Nothobranchius furzeri: one gene and its partners. The protein of the gene in region 4 purifies or fractionates together with the protein of the main gene of each other region. This does not show direct contact. Links are inferred from orthologs where the notes say so. Each region holds a gene or a part of one and is shown on either strand. Other genes may lie near its edges.

Evidence for each region.
Region 1: the proteins of sf3a3 (region 4) and phf5a purify together in Homo sapiens (affinity purification with mass spectrometry; 3 studies listed by BioGRID and IntAct, with this or other methods). This does not show direct contact. The link is inferred for Nothobranchius furzeri from reciprocal best matches to the Homo sapiens genes SF3A3 and PHF5A.
Region 2: the proteins of sf3a3 (region 4) and rbm17 purify together in Homo sapiens (affinity purification with mass spectrometry; 4 studies listed by BioGRID and IntAct, counting the BioPlex papers as one, with this or other methods). This does not show direct contact. The link is inferred for Nothobranchius furzeri from reciprocal best matches to the Homo sapiens genes SF3A3 and RBM17.
Region 3: the proteins of sf3a3 (region 4) and snrpa1 purify together in Homo sapiens (affinity purification with mass spectrometry; 6 studies listed by BioGRID and IntAct, counting the BioPlex papers as one, with this or other methods). This does not show direct contact. The link is inferred for Nothobranchius furzeri from reciprocal best matches to the Homo sapiens genes SF3A3 and SNRPA1.
Region 5: the proteins of sf3a3 (region 4) and sf3b6 purify together in Homo sapiens (affinity purification with mass spectrometry; 3 studies listed by BioGRID and IntAct, with this or other methods). This does not show direct contact. The link is inferred for Nothobranchius furzeri from reciprocal best matches to the Homo sapiens genes SF3A3 and SF3B6.

Annotation. Positions count from the first base shown.
Region 1 is NC_091756.1:28,019,748-28,023,880, forward strand, and holds phf5a (PHD finger-like domain-containing protein 5A), read left to right. Parts: upstream 1-1,325; 5' UTR 1,326-1,427; coding exon 1,428-1,479; intron 1,480-1,768; coding exon 1,769-1,792; intron 1,793-3,438; coding exon 3,439-3,605; intron 3,606-3,675; coding exon 3,676-3,765; 3' UTR 3,766-3,840; downstream 3,841-4,133. Other genes in the region: l3mbtl2 (lethal(3)malignant brain tumor-like protein 2), read left to right, coding at 1-78, 155-387.
Region 2 is NC_091741.1:60,753,344-60,756,855, forward strand, and holds part of rbm17 (splicing factor 45), read right to left. Parts: intron 2,333-3,512; coding exon 2,282-2,332; intron 600-2,281; coding exon 464-599; intron 372-463; coding exon 220-371; intron 1-219. UniProt on the Homo sapiens protein: Splice factor that binds to the single-stranded 3'AG at the exon/intron border and promotes its utilization in the second catalytic step. Involved in the regulation of alternative splicing and the utilization of cryptic splice sites.
Region 3 is NC_091749.1:6,237,274-6,241,457, reverse strand, and holds the start of snrpa1 (U2 small nuclear ribonucleoprotein A'), read left to right. Parts: upstream 1-1,381; 5' UTR 1,382-1,506; coding exon 1,507-1,588; intron 1,589-1,691; coding exon 1,692-1,839; intron 1,840-4,184. UniProt on the Homo sapiens protein: Involved in pre-mRNA splicing as component of the spliceosome. Associated with sn-RNP U2, where it contributes to the binding of stem loop IV of U2 snRNA.
Region 4 is NC_091751.1:25,496,963-25,501,069, forward strand, and holds the start of sf3a3 (splicing factor 3A subunit 3), read left to right. Parts: upstream 1-1,301; 5' UTR 1,302-1,427; coding exon 1,428-1,523; intron 1,524-1,604; coding exon 1,605-1,652; intron 1,653-3,633; coding exon 3,634-3,686; intron 3,687-4,107. UniProt on the Homo sapiens protein: Component of the 17S U2 SnRNP complex of the spliceosome, a large ribonucleoprotein complex that removes introns from transcribed pre-mRNAs.
Region 5 is NC_091742.1:17,814,870-17,819,140, reverse strand, and holds the start of sf3b6 (splicing factor 3B subunit 6), read left to right. Parts: upstream 1-1,460; 5' UTR 1,461-1,579; coding exon 1,580-1,609; intron 1,610-2,067; coding exon 2,068-2,186; intron 2,187-4,271.

The DNA of each region.
Region 1 (4,133 bases), on a different chromosome or scaffold from region 4:
CGACCACTGACGATTCTCAAAGCCGATGTCCAGCGGCGCCGCTCGTCCAGCTGAAGGCTGAACCAGAGGAGAGAGAGAGTAAGTGAAGGCTCTTCAAATTTGGTTTAAAGGTCATTTTTGATCATTGTTGTGTGACTGGGTTGTGTCTCTGTAGTCGTTAGAGTGCAGGTGAAGGTGGAGGAGATGGAGACCCTTATCAACCCCCCAGACCAGCCTCAAAAAGTCTCGCAGTGTGAAGTGAAACAAGAGAAGGCCGAGCAGATGATCCAGTCGGGACATCAGGTGCCAGAGCAGAGCCCACTGGCAGACATGATCCATCAGACCGCAGAGAAAAGAGAAACAGCAGAAAATGGAGGCGAGCATAAAGGACAAGCTGAGCGGAGTTAAAAAAAGACAAACCCCAGAAAAAAGGAGGCCAGAAAATGGGAGGAGCATGGAAGAGATGTGGGAAAACAACACAACAAGACACTGCAGGAGGAGCTGAACCGATGGAGATATAAGCGGCTGCTGTAGATGACGTTCTGAGATGGTAACAGATGTGAATCAAAAGACGGCTGGAGCTATGTCTCATGAATCTCTGCTGTTTATAAACTCTCAGACCCTCCGACCCAAAAAGAGAGTTCAGAACTGTCTCGCCTCCCCCAAGGTCACCCTAGCTACACCCAGTTCCTCAAAAGCTTTTGTTAGTGATCAAGTCATTGTTTTTGTTTCGTTATCAGATTTGTTTTTGTGAGCAAATATCCAGTCGGGAGTAAGAGTCAGACCAGTAGGTGAACAGATGAAAACCGGCTGATCCTGGCTGCATAGACCAGGAGCCGGTATGGCAATGTGGACCTGTTTCACTAGTTAGACTAATTCACTGGCTGGTCATATTAGCCAAGTTAACTGTTTTAATGTTTGTTGGTATAATTCTGTTAAAGAAGAACTCACAGTGGTCATTGTAATGATTTGAAACTGACAAAAGTAATAAATATATACTGAAAATCCATCTTGGCTTTTGATTAGTGGTTAAACAACAACTGAAAAGAAAATAATAAAATGGACCTGGATAAAAATGTTCCCTATTCTTCATTATTTGTTGTTGAACCTTTTGAGACAGTGTCAGCAACCCAGGGATTTTTGTAATTTTATTAACTTTGCTGCTGTTCTATGGTAACTCAGAGACATTGCAGCTCGTATCAGGATGAGGCATCACCTCTGGAGCAGAGGGATAAAGAATTTTAGTGAACATAAAACTTGGAAATTTGTTTAAATTCTGGGCTAATGACAGCATTTTCACCCAATGTCCTTGTTTATTTGAAACCCGTTTTTTAAGAGTGTAGTTACAAGGTGAAGGCACTAGGTGGTGGTAGCGACTCAACTCGACACTTGCACGCCGGTCAAAGGTTAAAACTGAATTACGTTCGGCCGTCGTTGGTTAGCTGAAAATGGCTAAACATCACCCAGATTTGATCTTCTGTCGAAAACAAGCGGGTGTCGGTATGTTTCTTTACTTTATGTCGTTCGGTACCTTTGAAACTACACAGATATATCAGAAACACGTTTGATTTGCGCCATGTGTTAGCTGCTAAGCTAACTGTTAGCATAAATACTGAAATGAGTAGCGGAGCTGGACGTGTCTTTACGGTTTTCATCTCTGTTGACACTAACAATTTTATGGTTTTTAAACCCGTTTAACTGAGTATTGAACATAGAGAAGTACAAATTTATCGTTTATCCTGAAAATTGAAACGTTTAATTGAACGACTGTTCTGTTTTCCTCCCGCAGCTATCGGGAGACTTTGCGAGAAGTGTAAGTGTCTCCACTTTTAACACGTTTACTGTAAAGTCTATTTCTGTTATAGGTTTTCCTCTAGAACGTTGTGCTTTTGGCTAATTCTAACCCAAAGATCTAGCTGATTTCCTTGGAGTAAAGGCGGCTAAAAAGAACCAACCATCATAAACGCTGTTAAACCTCTAGATTTTATTTATAGGCACTTTAAAAACACCCACCTTATAAAAAACCATGCCAATGTAAAATCCGTAATGAATTTTAAAGTCAATGCAATGTAAATTTAAGCAGCATTTTTAAAATAATCAAACATAAATTTAGATAAGAGAATTTGAAAATGATCTGAGGTGTCAACAAGGAAAAGGAAGACGAGGCCTTAGGGTGGAGGTGGAGATATGCAGGTCATCGTTAGGATTTTGGATATCGAGGACAAAGACTGGGATTGGTCTTGAAAGTGAGGCAGAATCCTGTGATGATGCAAAATTGGGATGGCAGCATATATCATATGCTACACGTGGCAGAGCTTTTGACTGACTGATGTCTTTAAAGATGAGGAGCCAGCTGAGGTGGGTTGGGAATTTGGTATGGATGTCCCCTGGACTCCACCTAGGGGAAGCGTTTCAGGCATGTCCTGCCAGCAGGAGGCTCCAGGTCGACCTGCGACACATTGGAGGTACCTCCACTTTGGGCAAGGCACACCTGGGGATCCTGCTGGAGGAGGTCTTCAGAAAGAGGCAAGGTTGGGTATCTCTGCTGGGGCTGCAACCCCCGTGACCCAGACTCATATGCAGGTAAAATCTGGTGGTCATTTACAGTAATCAGGGTCCAGATGTATGGCTGTAAGTGAAGAAAACATATTTTCTACACAGACCGTGCAAACATGAATCACCTTTAGACAGTACATGCTGGACATGAGGAATAATAACGAGGTCACAACCCAAACCAAGATGTTCACCAGACTGAAACTAGTCTGAGAGAAGTTAAACTCTCAACACTGAACTTCACTAAAACTAGTTTCTCCATCCACTGAGTTCAGCGTGTCCCAGCTGGGACAAAAGAGACAACAGAAGAATGTGTTAACAGAAATTTTCAAACCTGTGGACATCCTGTCTGGACACTTGCCAACTTAACCAGAAAATCTGGAAAAGCACCCGACAGGAAAATTTTAAAGTTATTGCAAATGTTGCAGGATTATCAAAGAAACTCCAAACGTGGCATTCTGGTGCATTGGAGTCCAGATGGGACCCTGAGACAGAAGTTGGTTTAGGTGAAGGACACGAGCTGAGCAGAGTCTGCACCTGTACACACAGATCAAGGCTCAGATTTAAATCTGAGAAAGATGTCACTTCCACATTTTGCTTTGAGAAAAGTCAATGAAGCCATTAGGTCGAATAGGAAAAGTCGCAGTTAAACAGATCTCCGGTTTCACTTATCCAACACCTCCAGTGCAGCTTTGGCTCCTCTCCCACTTCGTTTCACAACCACTCACACTTAAAAACACGTGACTGAAACTCTTCCTAACGTTCCAAACACTCACAGAAGAGACGGCGGGTCAGTCTTGTGATTGTTACAGTTACCTAATAAGATCAGAAGCACTTTCACTTTATTAGTAAATGTAGAAATAATTATTGTTCCCATCACCAGCTTAGTTTCTCTTCCTCTTCCAGGTGATGGGAAGTGTGTGATCTGCGACTCTTACGTGCGACCGTGCACGCTGGTGCGTATTTGTGATGAGTGTAACTACGGCTCCTATCAGGGGCGCTGTGTGATCTGCGGAGGTCCCGGCGTGTCTGACGCTTACTACTGCAAAGAGTGCACCATCCAGGAGAAAGATGTGAGTCCTCCTCTCGTACGCCCAGCTGTGTCTGCAGGAACGTCTCTAAATATTTTGTTCCTCTCTGCAGCGAGATGGCTGTCCCAAGATCGTAAACCTGGGCAGCTCCAAGACAGATCTGTTCTATGAAAGGAAGAAGTACGGCTTCAAGAAGAGGTGAAGACAGGAGAAACACCGAGTTCATAGTCGTTTTTTTTTTTTCCAAAAACTTTTTCTTAATAAAATGTTTTTTCTATTTCTGTCTTCATGTTTTGTGACTGGAAAAGATAATTGGTGAACATGAATCAGATGGAATACTCAAATCTTTTCATTAAACATTTTCAAATTAGCCTAAGCCTGTTAGTTTTATTAAACCTTATTAGATCATGTAAACGTTTAGCAGCAAGCTGTAGAACTGAGTGAACCCAGTCTACTAGTCCCACTTCTCTCTTACCATTTCTATTTATTATAACGTGTCAAAGGACACGCCCTTTTTCAGGAATATGGCTAGGAAATTTTCACTTCAATTAAAGTTTATATAGCGCCAAA
Region 2 (3,512 bases), on a different chromosome or scaffold from region 4:
CAATGAAACACACATACACTAAGTCACTGGAAAATAACGGCTCGATATCAAAATAAGACACAAATGAACACAGTTCATGACAACAAGCTGGTATCAGCTGACAGAACAAGCTGAAGTAGGTTTTCAAGTAGCTGACCCATGAAGATTATTTAAAGCAGACGGTGTTGAAAAAGCAAAAAAAGGTAGGATCAAGAGCAGAAATACGCTAACGCGACTTACGTTTTTCTGCAGCGTCGCCCACAATGATCTTCCCGCCCCTTTTGCTGGTCTTCTCCACAGACAGGGCCGTGCTCAGGCCTTGCTCGTGCTTCCCCAGACCCTGACCTTCTTTGAAGCCGTACTTCTGCATGATCTTATGGGCCACCGTACCTCTGTTTGAAGTACACCATTAAGGCAATTTTAGTTTTTTTTTTTCCTTCTACTAGAAGTGTTTTAAAAGTTTAAACTCAAATGGCTGACCCACCCCATGTTTGCCAGGAAGGAGCTACTTGGTAAAGGAGGCGAACGGGGCCGATCGGAGTCTTCATACATGGGTGGAGGAATGGCTGCCTTGGAGCCTCTGGCAGGACGACCTTCATCTTCATAAGTATACGAAGAACCTAAACAGTTTATAAAGACACAATTATTCCCTTTGATAAGGAGAATTCTAACATGTTTGTTTAATGAAAATGATGATGTAAAATCATTAAAAAAAATACATCTGTTTTACAGGTCTTTATTTCTAGGCCAATGCTGCCCTCTGCTGGACGACTGCTGCATTAACTGAGGCAGCGTTTGGTCTGGATTCATCTCTCATTTGGATCAATTTGACCCTGGTTTCAGATTAGAAAACTAGATATGAAATCTAGTTTGTACTTTTGCACTTTACATTCAAACATTCAGCCTTTTTAGTCCATACAAATTCTGCTGATTTCAGAAGATAAATGTTGACAAAACCATCAATATCAGTAAATAACAGTTTTCGGCCATACAGCAATATTGTTAACGGATATCGACTTCTTTGTTTGCTCTCCAAGAAACCAAAGAAGTCCAGTTGCCTTCATTTGAAACCTTTGGATTACCATGATCTGGATGACTGAGAACCTTCACCAGCACATATTTAAAAACTGGAGCTCATTAATTAGGCCATCATTTATTTAAGTCAGGTAGTCCAAATGACAGCAGGGAGGCTCGCTAGATGTTGCACACATAGGCAGTGGGTATTATTTTACTCCAACAATCTGAATAGCTGTGTACATGCACGTCAACGGGAATGATGATAGAACAAAGCTACCTCCTCATCTGTGCCCCAGGCAAGCTGGTTCCCAAAGTCAGAGACTCTCTTGGTCAGCTTGCTTCCCACACCAAACCTTCTGTCAGGAATCTTGGCGTGACCTTTGACCCAGCTCTCACCCTGGATTCTCATGTCAGTTCTCTTGTTCACTCTTCCTTCTTCCATCTCAGGAACATTGCTAAGCTGAGTCCCATTCTGTCCTGCTCAGAACTTGAGACTGTCATTTACACCTTCCTCTCCTCACGCTTAGACTACTGTAACTCTCTTTTCACGTGTCTGAGCAGAACCTCCCTGAACCGTCTACAGGTGGTTCAGAATGCCTGTGCTCGGCTTCTGACCAAGTCCTCCAAACACACCCACATCACCCCACTTCTCCTCCAGCTTCACTGGCTGCCAGTCAACTTCAGGGTTCATTTCAAGATCCTGGTTCTGGTCTATAGGGCCTTACATGGACAAGCACCATCTTACATTGGTGATCTTCTTAGTCCCTACACCCCCAGCAGGTCCCTGAGGTCCAGTGACCAAAGCCTACTGGTTGTGCAGCACCAGGCTAAAGACCAAAGGTGACAGATCATTTGCTGCTGTGGCCCCCAGACTCTGGAACTCTCTCCCCCTGAGCCTGAGATCAGTGGACTCAGTGGTCTCCTTTAAAAAGCAGCTGAATACTCACTTGTTCAAGCTGGCTTTTGTATGACCTTCTTCACCACTCTCTCTTTATTCTGCTCTCCCCACCTACCGTATTCCACCTTCCTCGAGATTCACTGATTTCCCTCTTTCCTATTCACTCTCTCTTTCTTTACATAGTTTCTTTTAAATCCCAATTGTCTATTTTTGCTTATTTTAAACATATTTTGAATCAGTTTCTAAATTATTTTTTTATATTTTAAATTTTTTGTTTTTGTGAATCGCCTCGTGATTTTTGAGAGGCGCTATAGAAAAGATCGTTTCTTCTTCTTCAGGGCAGATCCCTGATGCTGGTAATGGTCCAACCCTATTCATTATACTTACCGTCTTTGTCTACAAGTGATGAAGGAGGGGCGATGGCTGCTCCACCCATACCTGACATGAAAAGAAAAAGTATGAAAATAACATACAACTAAGGATAATTTAGCACAACACCAGGGCACTCAGTGATCCTGTCATATCAGTGTAATACTTTGATTAACTGCAGTAAGAATACCACCAGACAAGCCGAAAAACTGTTTAAAACGGATGAAGCAACAAATGTTTGTTAACAAATCAATTGTTGTTGTTACAGCTGTGATAAGTGTGTGTGTGTGTGTGTGTGTGTGTGTGTGTGTGTGTGTGTGTGTGTGTGTGTGTGTGTGTGTGTAGTGTGTGCGTGCGTGCGTGCGTGCGTGTGCGTGTGTGTGTGTGTGTGTCTCCAACATATTGTTTTCTTACATTAGCCTCATTCCAGATGCAAGTCACTTTGGACAAAAGCATCTGCTAAAATTATAAACATAAAGAAACAGGAGAGGTTTTTTGGTGGTTTTCTTATGATAAAAGCTCTGATAACAAAGTCTGATTTGATTTGATTTGGAAGAAACATTTTTAATAATTTTGTTCAGGAGAAATGATTAAAAATGTACAAACTTCAGTTCTGTCTTTAGGCAAATAGAAAGAACTAATTATATTGCTGTAAAAATGACCCTGGTTCTGGTTTAGAAATATACCAGAATGTCCGTTCTTTATTTTTCTGTTAATTTGCAAAAAGTAGTTCATATGAGAAAAATGAAGCATAAGGTTGCATTCATAGGTTTTTAAAAGGATCAAAAACAAAACTCCATCAGATTATTTGGGACCGAAATGTGGTCCAATAACAACAACTTGCTTTTCCTTCAAATCCTGAACCATTCTTTATTTTGAGAATAACTTCTGTTACTAAAACAATCATATGTTGCTGCCTTAAAATCAAGTGAATCCCCAAACAAGTGAAAAAACACCTGCTTTTACAGTAGTTTGTCTCAAATATGTAGAAAAATATTAATGTACTGACAGTTTTAGCAGGAACCAGCTGCGTAAATCAAGTAGAAGAAAACAAAGCTCCTGGGTAAAAAGTGGAATATTCAAGTAAAATCCAAAATAATTAACCAATTCTGGTGCTGGAATAATTACTGATTAACACCAGGTTGTTAGACTTGGGCGGTATTACCGTATACAGCCGGTGTTAAAAAAATAGCAACAGTGTCAGTTCCAATACTGTCATGAAAAAAACAGTGATTAAAAATAAAAAAGA
Region 3 (4,184 bases), on a different chromosome or scaffold from region 4:
TGGTGACGTCACTTCCTTCTCCGTTTATCCGTGGGCAGCAGAGGACGGGAGTAAGGGACCCTAAACATTAACACATATAGGAAACCAACACACACAGACCAATATCTATTATGGACATCAGAACACCCCACCATATACAAAATGTCAGTAATCAGAACATTATATCACCGAGCAAACATAATAACAGAAGAAAGAGACCGTAAACAAGAGGACAAACACATACAACATGCTTTAAAGACCTGCGGATACCCGACATGGGTAATAAACAAAGGAAAACAACAAACAACAACAGAAAGAAAAAAACAACCAAAGCAAAGAACCAGCAACCCAGAAAGCCAAGAACCAAAACCAGTGATAACCCTACCATACATTAAAGGCATAACAGAAAAAATAAGAGCAACAATGAAAAAACACAACATAAACACACCAACAAAACCATACACAACAGTTAGAAACAGACTAGTACACCCAAAAGACAAAATACTAGCTGGACTTAAATGTGGAGTCATTTACAAAATCCCATGCAAACTCTGCAATAAAACATACATAGGAGAAACCGGACGCCAACTCAACACACGAACAATAGAACATAGAAAGGAGTGCGAGAAAGAGGCAAGTCGAAAACACACAAGAGCAGCAAAAGAAGAAGCAGAAATCACAATAAAGAAGTCAGCCGTAACAGATCACTGCACAAGAGAAAACCATATAATGGACTGGGACAACACAAGGATCATAAACACCGAACAACAAAAATACAAAAGATGAATAAAAGAAGCTACCGAGATAAGGTGACGTGGATGTGGGACCATGAACAGGGACGATGGAGTTTACACGTTGGACCGCGCATGGGACTGCATCGTCGGAGAGGGGAGAGCGGGCAGCAGAGGGCGACAACATCCTCTGCTGCTCACGGATAAACAGAGAAGGAAGTGACGCCACCATCAGCGTCAGCCTGAGGAAGTTTGCAGCTGCAAACGAAATGTAGCGGGAAAACAGGTAAACAAAACTGTTTAAAAAAGAACTACAGCATGGAATTACAGGTTGCTGCTTTATTCATTTGCTGCTAGGCTATTCACACATATTTAAACAACTTAGCCCTGTTACCTTTTCCTTTAAATAAATGCAGCAAAAGCTTAGATTTTTTTCAGCATTTTCTCAGTCTGCCAACTTGGAGAAGTTTTACCAAACTGTGAAACTCCAGTAGGGAGACGAGCTGCAGCTCCTTAACAGGGACTTTTTATTGGGAAATATACTAAATTTAACATCTTATTGGCACAAATCTAATCCCATATACTCAACACCTACCTATGCACTGATGAGTGATCCAGCTCCACTCCAGGTGGGGCGCTGTAGCACCACTATTTACCACTGACTCGTCCTCGGACAAACCGGAAGTAGAAGAAGCTCTTGTTCTGGCGGCAGCGTGGAATACGTTAGCGTTTACCTCTCTGTGAAACTGTTTAGTTTGCTGTAGAAAGGTTACAAAAGCCCAAGTTCGTGTCCGACATGGTGAAGCTGTCTGCGGAGCTGATTGAGCAGGCTGCTCAGTACACCAACCCTGTGAGAGACAGAGAGCTGGATTTACGAGGTAAACTCGGGCCTTTACCCACGGCTAACTGACTAGGTTAGTGTTGTGTGTGTGTGTGTGTGTGTTTGTGTGCTAACCAGTGTTAGCTCTGCTTTATCTTTAGGTTATAAGATCCCAGTGGTGGAAAACCTCGGAGCTACTCTGGACCAGTTTGACACTGTAGATTTCTCTGATAATGAAGTGAGAAAACTGGACGGCTTCCCTTTGCTAAAGAGGCTGAAGACGCTGCTGATGAACAACAACAGGGTCTGGTAAGTCCCACTGCTCTGTGTGTCACCATGGTCCAGGTCTGCCCCTGAGCTGCACAGGTAGGGTCTGGATGATGGAGACGAGTAGGATCTGGGAACACTTCATGTTGATCCATATCAGTAATTATCGGAAATGTAGAAAATGTATTTTAAGTAACGTACTGGCCATCTTGTGCTACTCCTTAGTTAACTACCTTCAGTAAAGAACACACACTGTTTATTTAAACAGATGTTTTACTAGGATGCAGGTTTTCCAAGATTTGTTTAACCGGGTGTTGATGCCCCTCAACACAATCATTTGCCCCTGCTTCATAAATAACACTTTATATATAAGTCTGAGGCACAACTAGAGTCCCACACCCGTTACATTTGTGATCTAGTAAAGAGACAGTGGGATGACAGCTGAAATGTCCGTCAGACCTCTGGCATCCATTACTCAGAAGAGCATTCTGGAGGCCACGTTTTTAAAAACCACTTTAGCTTCCTTATATTGAACTAAATAATTTGACATTTATGTTGCTAGACTAATTAGGAGTCAGACGCAAGCAGCAGCGTCACGGCCGCCTGACCTTTTGCTGGTCACTCTTCAATGTGCTGTAGATTAAAACATTGGCGTAATCTGCGTTTAGTTGAGACGACGTCGGTGTGATGCAGCTGCTGTCAGGAAGACGTGTAGAACGGTACGACTCTGCATCAGTGGGGTCTGTAGTCACCCGCTCCAACATTTGCATACTTTTTGCTGCTAAAGTAATCTTTTGGAATAAATATTTAAAATGAAATATCAGTTTGAGTTTCTGCAAAATGAAAATAATTTTTTACCACGAGGTTTAGACGGTCCCTCTGCTCAGTGAAAAGCCAGCCCTGACAAAATGATTAAGTTATCAGGGATCGTCATATGAGAGTAATTCACAGAAAACCAAACATGAAAGTATGTGAAAATACTCCAGAATAGTGCAGTCATCCTTAACAAGTTATCGATGTGGTCTGATTAAATGTGTAGAAAGAGCTGCGGCGTCATCTCGGCTGGTTGCTTGAAGACTTTAATAAACCACTGCTAAAGGTAAAAACGCTGCTCTGACTCTTCAGTGCAGCAGAAGTGTTGGTTTTATGAAATTACCTCATCACCTGTTTCTGCTCCAGCGTCCTTAAATCTTCTGGTGCCCCGATCCATTTACTGGGTTTGTTTTAAACACAAGGCTAGTAGCATACAGGAGCCGATTCTGACCAGAAAAAAGTATTAGGGAATAGAAGAGACTTTATTGTTATTGTACAGCGACATTGGAGTGCCACTCCCTTTGGTGCAATTTGTAAAATAATACGGAATAAAATAAACGTAAAATCAACAGTAATATTTACAAATGTATAGAAAGAGTAGCAGCATCAGTCAGGTTCTGTGCAGGTTAAGCAGAATTTTAGCATATTGAGTAAACACTAATAGTAAGAGTAAACGTGTGGCTCGGGTTTACAGGCTCATCTGGTTTTGTGGTCGTTTGCTACTCTGGTAGCTCTGGGAAAGAAGCTATCCCTGGTTTTATGTGACCTGCACCATCAGCCTGACGGTAACGGGTCAAACAGATGGTTACTGGGGTGAGAGTAGTCCTCGATGTTCCTGCTCTACTGGGGTAATGAGAGTTGGCAATGTGCTTCAGGCTGGGCAGAGAGCATCCAGTGGTCTTCTGGGCTGTGCTGATGACCCTCTGCAGTACTTTCCTGTCTGCAGCTGAGCACCCTGCATACCATGTTGTGATGCCGTACGCTTGGATGCCCTTTGTGGTGGCTCTGTAGAATGTGACCAGCAGCCTCTCCTCCAGGTCGTTCCTTCTGAGCACTCTCATGAAGTTTTTACCACCGCTGTGGTGTTTGCAGTCCAGGAGAGATCATCAGAGATCTGCACGCCCAGAAAGCTCACGGAGTGCACCCTCTCCACACAGTCCCCGTGAATGTAAAGTAAGGCCGGGTCGGCCCTGCCCTTCCTGAAGTCCAAGATAAGTTCTTCAGTTTTTGTGGTGTTCAGTTGGAGGTTGTTTCCTGAACACCACACAGTCAGTCTGTTGACCTCATCTCTGTAGTCCCACTCATCCCCCCTTGAGATGAGTCCAACCACAGTGGTGTCATCCACAAACTTAATGATGGTGTTTGAGAGATGGGTCGGGGAGCAGTCGGATGTGTAAACGGGAGGGGACTCCGAACACATCCTTGTGGAGCGCCGGTGCTGGAGAGGTGGGGGCCGAGTCTGACAGACTTTGGTCTGTTTGTCAGGAAGTCCTTAATCCAGATGGGGGTGGAGAGTCCCAGGCGAGACAGTTTCTGGACCCGGATCTGTGGGATGGTGTAACTGAGCGCATTCT
Region 4 (4,107 bases):
GTTTCATCAGTCTGCTGCTCCTGGTTTGTGAAAGAACTCTATTGTAGCGTGGTGAGCTACTCCGGGCTGAGGAAACTTTCTGATGTTTTTAAAAACCCTCAACACCTCGGAGAAGTGGGTTTAAATGTTCGGAGAGTTCGGGGGAGCCCACGGGCTCGTTCCGACCCGGTCCGCTCCGCCTGTTTTGTTGGATAAATGAAGAGTTAGCATCAAGCATGTAGATGTCGGAAGATGCTGCAGCTAACCAGGAGCAGCCCTCTGGTAGCGGGTCTGCCACTGACCTCTGCCAGGTCTGCCCCAGTAGCACAAAGACAGAATGGATACCCCCCACCCCCCCACACCTCGTCTCCACAACGACAACGACCGCCCCCCCCCTTCCGCAGATAACGCCTCAGCGCCTCAAATCCATTACAGCAAGCGAGTGTTGTCACCGTGGAAAACTGGCTGCTCACCTTCCTGAACAGGCTGGACGCACCGCGGCGGAGAAAACGGTTCCCAAAGTCCCTGTAGTCCACAAAACCCAAACACTGGCTGCCCGGTGCTTTGACTTGCTGCTGCTGGAGAACGTACCGAAGCCAGAACGCCACTGTCAAGGCAGCGACTGTTACTGTGGAGTTTCCGGTGTTGACTGCCAAAATAAAAGCTCTGGCGGTAATTATAAAGATAAAAAGGAATATATATATATATATATATATATATATATATATATATATATATATATATATATATATATATATATATATATATATATATATATGACATGGGATCAGACCTCTGAGAATCATAAAAATGTTGGATATCATTTCTACTTTAGTTTTATCACATCCTGTCACATTACTATACACAGCTCTGACAGTGGAATGCATCGTAAATTGTTGTATTACATTTGAGAATGATTTATCATTTGCACCTAAGAAACAAGTTATAAGCGCCAACACTTCCGGTCTGTGGTAAGTGCGCTCCACCGCGTGTGCGCTGGGATAGTGTGTGTGTCCTGATTTTGCAGGCTTTGATGAGATGTGATTAGAAATAGCTCACAATAAAATAACCTCAAACAGCTCACGTGAACGAAAATTTCTATTTTGATCCATAAAACCGTCCGCAGTCGAATTATTCACAAACTCTCACGTCTGGATCGGTCTGGATGGACAGCAAATAATAATTTTAAAACTTTCATAAAATTCTAATAATATAAAAATAAAATATATGCTAATTTGTCCACTTGTAGGAATCCCGTACTGTCACCGTTATGGACGTTTGTGTGACCACAGCGGAACTAATAATTGGGAAATGTTTTCCTAGCCGTACTGAAGCGGACAGTAACTCCTGAACAGACGCCTTTGGTCAACGTACCATACTGCGCTGTGCTAACGCTTCAGCAGCAACCCTGAACAGTCTTCATTAAACTCTTGAGCATTTTGTAAACGATGGAGTCGATTTTGGAACAACAGCGTCGCTACCACGAAGAGAAAGAGAGGCTGATGGACGCAAAAACTAAAGAAATGTTGCACAAAAAGACCACGGTAAGCAGCGCAGCTTTTAGCATTAGCATGTTGCTAACACCAACGCAATGTTCACGTATTTGTTTTCGACTCTTGTTTCAGCTGCGGGATCAAATTAATTGTGATCATCGAATAAGAGCCATGTTGGATGTAAGTATGAAATGCTGCTCTTCCACCAGTGAGCTAAATGTTGTTTGGTGGTGTAGTTTTTTCCGTCGTGTTAAGTAATAGAGTCAATAACAATCATTGTGCTTAAGATCTGAATTTTATGAATCATTGCAATCGATGTTGTTCTGATTTGTTAAATGTAATATAGAAGTTATATCAGAAAATAAAGCTTATTTGTTGTTGGGTAAAGTTGCTTTTATTTTTATTGAGTTACCTGTAATGCTTGGTTCCTGCCTTGGTCGTCATTCACTTTTAGTGTAACTTTGGTGAATTTTCACCATCCATCCATCCATCGTCTGAACCCGCTTGGCCACGTAGGGTCGCGGGGGGGGGGGGACTGGTGCCCATCTCCAGCGGTCAATGGGCAATCAGGCGGGGTACACCCTGGACAGAGTGCCAGCCCATCGCAGGGGACTTTCACTGAATTTTCACTAATAGTATCCAAACGTTTAGAGAAGTAAATCAAAACCTCAGGTTGATCACTGCTGCTCTTTTAATCTGAAGTTCTCCTCATTAAAATGCAGTGAAACCAGAGGGCTTTACTGACACATCCAGACTTCATACACAAAACCCAACAGGTGGTACAGAGGGAGGATTGATCCTGCCAACGCTTACATTAAATTAAGAAAGGGCAAAAAAAAAAAGTAATTCAATAAATGAGGAAATACAATTGAAGATAACACACTTGGAGTTAAATGAATACAATTATTAATTTCCACATCTATTTTTTTAATACATTTCTTCATTTATATTCCTCACACTTCCTGTGGTATATGGTGATGAGGTGAATTAAAGTTAAAGTCCCACTAGTTGTCACACTGATGTGTGACATTGTTCTCTGCATTTGACCCACCCCCGGCAGTCCTCCAAAGGTTGTTGGAGACACGGCAGCACTCGGGAGCTATTTGGTGGTTTAACCCCCGATCCAACCCTTTAAAGCTTAGTGCCAAGCAAGGAGGCATTGGTTCCTGTTTTTCGAATCTTAGGTGTGACTCGACCGTGGATTTGAATCCCGATATCCCAGTCCCAGGGCAGACACTCATACTAATAGCCCACCTAATAATTGCATCATGTATTTCTATATGTACTTTCAATTTTATAACCAGTTATTGTCAATTTTGGTGGGATCAGACCTCCATAGGTTGATTTTTAAAATGTTTTAAATAATTTTAAGAATCACATTTAAACATGATCCTGAATGAAAGCGTATGTCGTGGTTGAATAAAATACTTGATCAGCTCAGTGCAGTGTGCTGGTTGCTTCTAAAGGTAATGTGCTTTATTTAACAATCTGATGTTTATTTAGATCTTCTCAGATCTAACAGAACTATGATGACATCTGAATCAGTCTGATATTTCTACCTGGAGATTCTAAGAAGCAGAATTTGTCAACTGATCTCACACACAGCTTAACCCAAAGTCTTAGATCCGGAGGGCATTATGCACATAGGGGTTGGGGTGCTCGGAGCGCCCCAACCCCTATGTGCGTAATGCCCTCCTCCCCTTTTCATCTAATGATCGTGGTTAAAAGGAAATCCTCCAGAATGCTGCAGAATCTGTGTCTGCTTTTTTTTTCCTGAGCGGTAAGTCTTGTGTGAGTGCATGCTTGCATGCACGCGCGAGTGTGCCTGCGCTAGTTAACAACTCGTTTTTAGATTGAGAAACTCCGACAGCACACGCGGAGGGGTTGAGGGGGGTGCGGTCTACCACTGCCTCAGTGCCGCTCTCCCGGTTCGCCAGGTGACGCCTCTTTCAGAAGCGTTTTTCTAACAGGAAATGTGGATGAAATGCGTCTCCAACCAGGCATTGACCCTCACTTTAAATAGTATTCTAGAGCTAGGTGTTGTCAAGCTATGTGTTACCATGGTAATTTAGAGCCAAGTCTATTACCATGATGATCTAACAGTGAGTCAGTGTTGGCTAGTTTAATGTCATCTGTTGTCATGTTCTGTGTCTCCTCACAGAGGTATATGGAAGTGAGTGCAAATCTCAGGGACTCTTATGAAGACAAAGATGGGTACGTTTTAATTTTTTTAAATATATTCAATGTACTTTTTTTTTTTGCTTGTTAGAGTTAAGCTGTTGTCTCTTTCTGTTACCCATTGTTTACTCAGGTTTGTTTTCCTGACAGTAAAAAAAATCTAAATATATAATTACATTTTTATTCTGGCCTATCAGAAGCGTTGGTATCCCATTCCACGGCTTTTGTTGCTACTTCTTTTATTAAATATATTAAATATTAAAGTCCAATGGCTCTATTTATAAAACTTTGTTTGGATCCTTTACTAAAAAAATTTACTTGCAGAAATAAAAAATTGGACCCATAAAACACTGCGTACATATAGCTGTACACAATTCCTGCTTTATCTAACTCTACCTAGAAATGTGTTCAGGTGATTTTGGATCACATCCCGCCTCCCGCACACCCACTGCTACCA
Region 5 (4,271 bases), on a different chromosome or scaffold from region 4:
CTCAGTGAGCTTTTGTTTTTGTTACCAGGGTTTTTGGATTTTTGGACTTTTGGCTCACTGCCTTTGGATTTATTTTTGTTCGTTCTACAAAATAAAGCATATTTACTTTACATCATCTCCAGCCTCGTGTCATCCTGGGTTTCTGCATATTTGTGTCCTAAACATCCTCAAAACGTGACATTAGAAAGGACTTGGTCCTGATGTTGCTGCTATGCAGGCGGTTTCTGATGGTAGAAAGGACTGTTTTCCTACTGAATGTAGTGTGCACATTTACCAAGGTGTCCTTTTTTAGGTGTTTCACGTGGTCTTGCTGGGGGGGTTAGAGTCTTTAGGGGACAGAGTTGAGTCAGAGCAGTGTTAAAGATGCATTGTTCATGTGATTTACACCTGGTCACGGCCTCGGTGAAGACCAGATGTGATGTTCATCTCCCAAGCTTCACCTTAGTGCCTGTTTGAGTGAAGCCCAGCATAAGCCAGTGCTGCAACATCCGTTACCATGGCAATAACCTTTTTCTTTTCCCTTTTTCTAATTCAGTTGTTTCGTTTGTGCATAAAAAAGGCTTTTAAAAAGTCTGCTGAGGTTTCAGAGGAAAATTAGTTGCAGTATCAGTGTTTTGTTTTTTATAAATATTAAAATTAAAGGTGCTGAAAAAACCTGATTGATGCTCAAATTACTCGAATAGGGAATAGTCTCCAGGTGTGCTACCGCATCCAATTTAAATTTTTACTTCTTGTTTTTAAGTAACTCTATCTTTATGCTCCTCTCTACTTGACTCAGCTGGTTCAGCCCTACGTACCTGGTCGAATTCTTTGGTCAGCAGACCTGTTACAGGTCCCAAGAGTTCGGGTGAGGACGCAAGGAGAACGAGCCTTCTCAGTCTGTGCGCCTCGTCTCTAGCAGTGACGGCTCATTTTTATTCCTTAGCTTTTACTTCAGCCTAGCTAGCATTTTACGATGTTTTTGTTTTGTCTTTATTGATTTTATAGTAGTTACTGTACTACTTTTATTACTTCTTCCAGTGTGTTGATTTTTATGCTCATTTACTGTGCAGCACTTTGGTTGGCCTCGGCCCTGTAAAAATGTGCTTTAAAAATAAAATGGAATGGAAATAGTGCTCCCTTCAATTCTGGAACCAACTGGTATGAAGAGCGAGAAGAACATTTTAGCCTAAATATTTTTTCATGTTTTAAAAAAAGTGCACTAACACTTGTTTGCTATACAGTTTTAAATGTTATTTTATTCGTATTCATTATATTGAAAGAAACTCTGGGATTTTTTTACTGAGTTGAGCTTAAGTATAGGTTCTGTTCAGTTCTTATGCATCTTCAGTTATCAGCCTCAGCAGCCAGTATTCAAATAGCATTTCTGTAAGAATGTCATTTTTCTATAGTTAGGATAATTGTTCCAGGCTGGTTGAGGTTCTTGTCCGCCGCTAGAGGGCAGCACCGTTATAAGGATGTATCTGTAGCCTAATTCCAAACCGGAAGTTCGATATATTTTTACCGTAGCCTCCATTTTGAAGTGAAAACAGCGTGTTTGTTGTTTATCTGCGTTATTTACACGAATTAAATCGTTACGATGGCTATGCAAGCAGCAAAACGTGCTAATGTAAGTGTAATGGAGCATATAAGGGGACAAAGGAAAGGCTAATGTGAAATGTAAGCTAGGTTTAGCTCTGAGGAAGCGTCTCAAAGAATTAGCGCACTACTAGCAGGTTAGCAAATTGAAAACAGTCCTCAAAACCTGAAATCTTCAAGCTTTATATTCACTTTAGTTATACTTACCATTTGAGGTCATGTGTTTTTTCATCTTTTGTTTTGTGAAGACATAATCCTCGTTGGGATATCGTCAGGCTAAGAATATTTGTTCCTTCCGGTACGGAAACAAGGATAAGCTAATGCATGTAATGATTAAAAGTAGCCATGTCTATTGTTAAGTGACTTACGTAGTCTTAAAAGGCCTCAGCTAGTAATCGTGTGTACTTATGTATCAGGTATTTGAGTTTTTACCCAGGTTAGTTTTGTTCCCTCTGAATAGTTTAATGATGTGTTTTAATGGTGTTGTAGATCCGATTACCTCCTGAGGTGAACAGAATCCTGTATATAAGGAATCTCCCCTATAAGATCACAGCTGAGGAGATGTACGATATCTTTGGAAAATACGGACCAATACGACAGATCCGAACGTAAGTTTTCAAAAAGTGTGTGTGTGTGTGTGTGTGTGTGTGTGTGTGTGTGTGTGTGTGTGTGTGTTATTATGAAGTCATTTTCAGAGTAAAAGAAAATTTTATGTAACAAAGCCAACTCTGCATTTAAAGCAGCCTTCACAGGATAAAAGCCACACATCGCTTCACGGTAAACATAAATAAAACAAATGTAAGTAAAACAGGTTTAAGTGTATTTAGAGAGCTCACGTTGAAGTAACAGTTAAGAGTCGTAGAGAAAGCAGCAAAGACAGAAAGAAAACGATCTTTTACGTAGCGCCTCTCAAAATAAAAATCACAAGGCGCTTCACAAACAAAACAACTAGAAAGATGTCAAAAAACGATTAAAAATATGTTTAAAATGAAGATAAGTAAATTGTGATTAAAAATAATAATGTAAGGAATGGGAGAGAGAAAATGAATAGGAAAGAGGGAAATGAGTGGATTGCTGGGAAAGGCGGAATACGTAGAAAGAGCCGAATAGGGAGAGGGTGGTGACGAAGGTCACACCAAAGCCAGCTTGAACTGGTGAGTTTTTAGCTGCTTTTCATAGGAGACCACCGAGTCCACTGATCTCAGGCTCAGAGGGAGAGAGCTCCAGAGTCTAGGGGCCACAGCAGCAGATGATCTGTCACCTTTGGTCTTTAGCCTGAAAAGAGATGAACACAGAAAAGGAGCCACCTTCATGGACGTTGTTTCTGCCTGGAGTTGATTGGTTTGTTGACACAAATTACATGACAAATCCCTTAAAGAGCAAATTGCAGGTTAGAGACTCCCATGAACCAATGTTTAGAGAAGCATAACAGAAACTCGGTTTAGAAGTTTTTTACACAGTAGAGACGGAGCTGCGCATCTGACCCCGGAAGTTGTTGCCCGTTGCCAGGAGACGAAGGCGGGCAAAACAGGAAAGGAATCTAGTAGCGGACGGACATTGTTCTGGGTCTTCGGTATTTGGTGGAGATGTTAGTGAAGGCGGAGAAGAGGGTGGACTAGAGGAAAAACAGGCAGGTTCCACCTCTATTTACAAACTCCTGGGGATGCAACAAGTGGGCGTGGTGCGTCGACCACCGGATCTGACGTCGACGAATTTTTAGAATCGAGCCGTCGACGTCATCGATGCATCGCTACAGCTCTACTGCGCATACCTGTAGTTATCGTCCATTTATCGTTATCGAGGTGAAATCCTCAATATATCGTGATATTGATTTTGAGCCATATCGCCCATCTCTAACCTAAAGGAAGACCCAGGATGCGCTGGAGGGACTACGTCTCTCAGCTGACCAGGGAACACCTTGGGATTCCCCTGCAGGAGCTGTGGAGGGAAGTCTGTGCCTCCCTGCTTAGGCTGCTGCCCCGTGACCCGACCCTGGATAAGCGGCCAGAAATGGATGGATGGATCAGCTAAGATAGTTTGATGGAAAAACAAAATTTGTTATTTTTGTTAACAACAAAAACTAGAGAGCGATCAGTTCACCTTTAATAAACATGGCTGCTGCTGCTTCAAGAGGGTCGGCTCCTTTCTGTAACACCGGTGTGTGAGCAGCAGACTCCTCCTAATATCCAGGCGGTGTCCTCTGGCTTCGGTGTGGAGTAGACCTACTTTAACTTTGAAACTTTTATGCTAGTCGCGTGTGTGAGAGCCCTGCTTTGGGTCTGGGACCCAGCACGTCCTTCTGTTATTCTGTGAGGTGGTACCAAAAAAAAAAAAAAGTCAAAAATGATCTTTTTCCCTCAATCCGTGTCATGTGATTTAGATACAGAGTCCCAATCCAATATTTCAGCAATCCATTAAATTAAGGAAAAAGTAGAAAACATCCAAGTTTTCCATTTTAGGTATTTTTATTATTTATTTGTAAGTTGGAACGGAATAGAAACGTTATCTGTCTAAACGGCTAGAGAAACTCGTCTTTTAAAAAGACACAACTTCCTGTTTCCATGTCATTTCCTCAGTTGAGCTGCTGAAACCATTCAGGAAGAATATTGATCAGAAACATGTTATTACTACAAATATGTTTAGTAATAGTCTCATTCCTTATTATTCAAATAGTTTAGAAAGTGTGTGGCTGC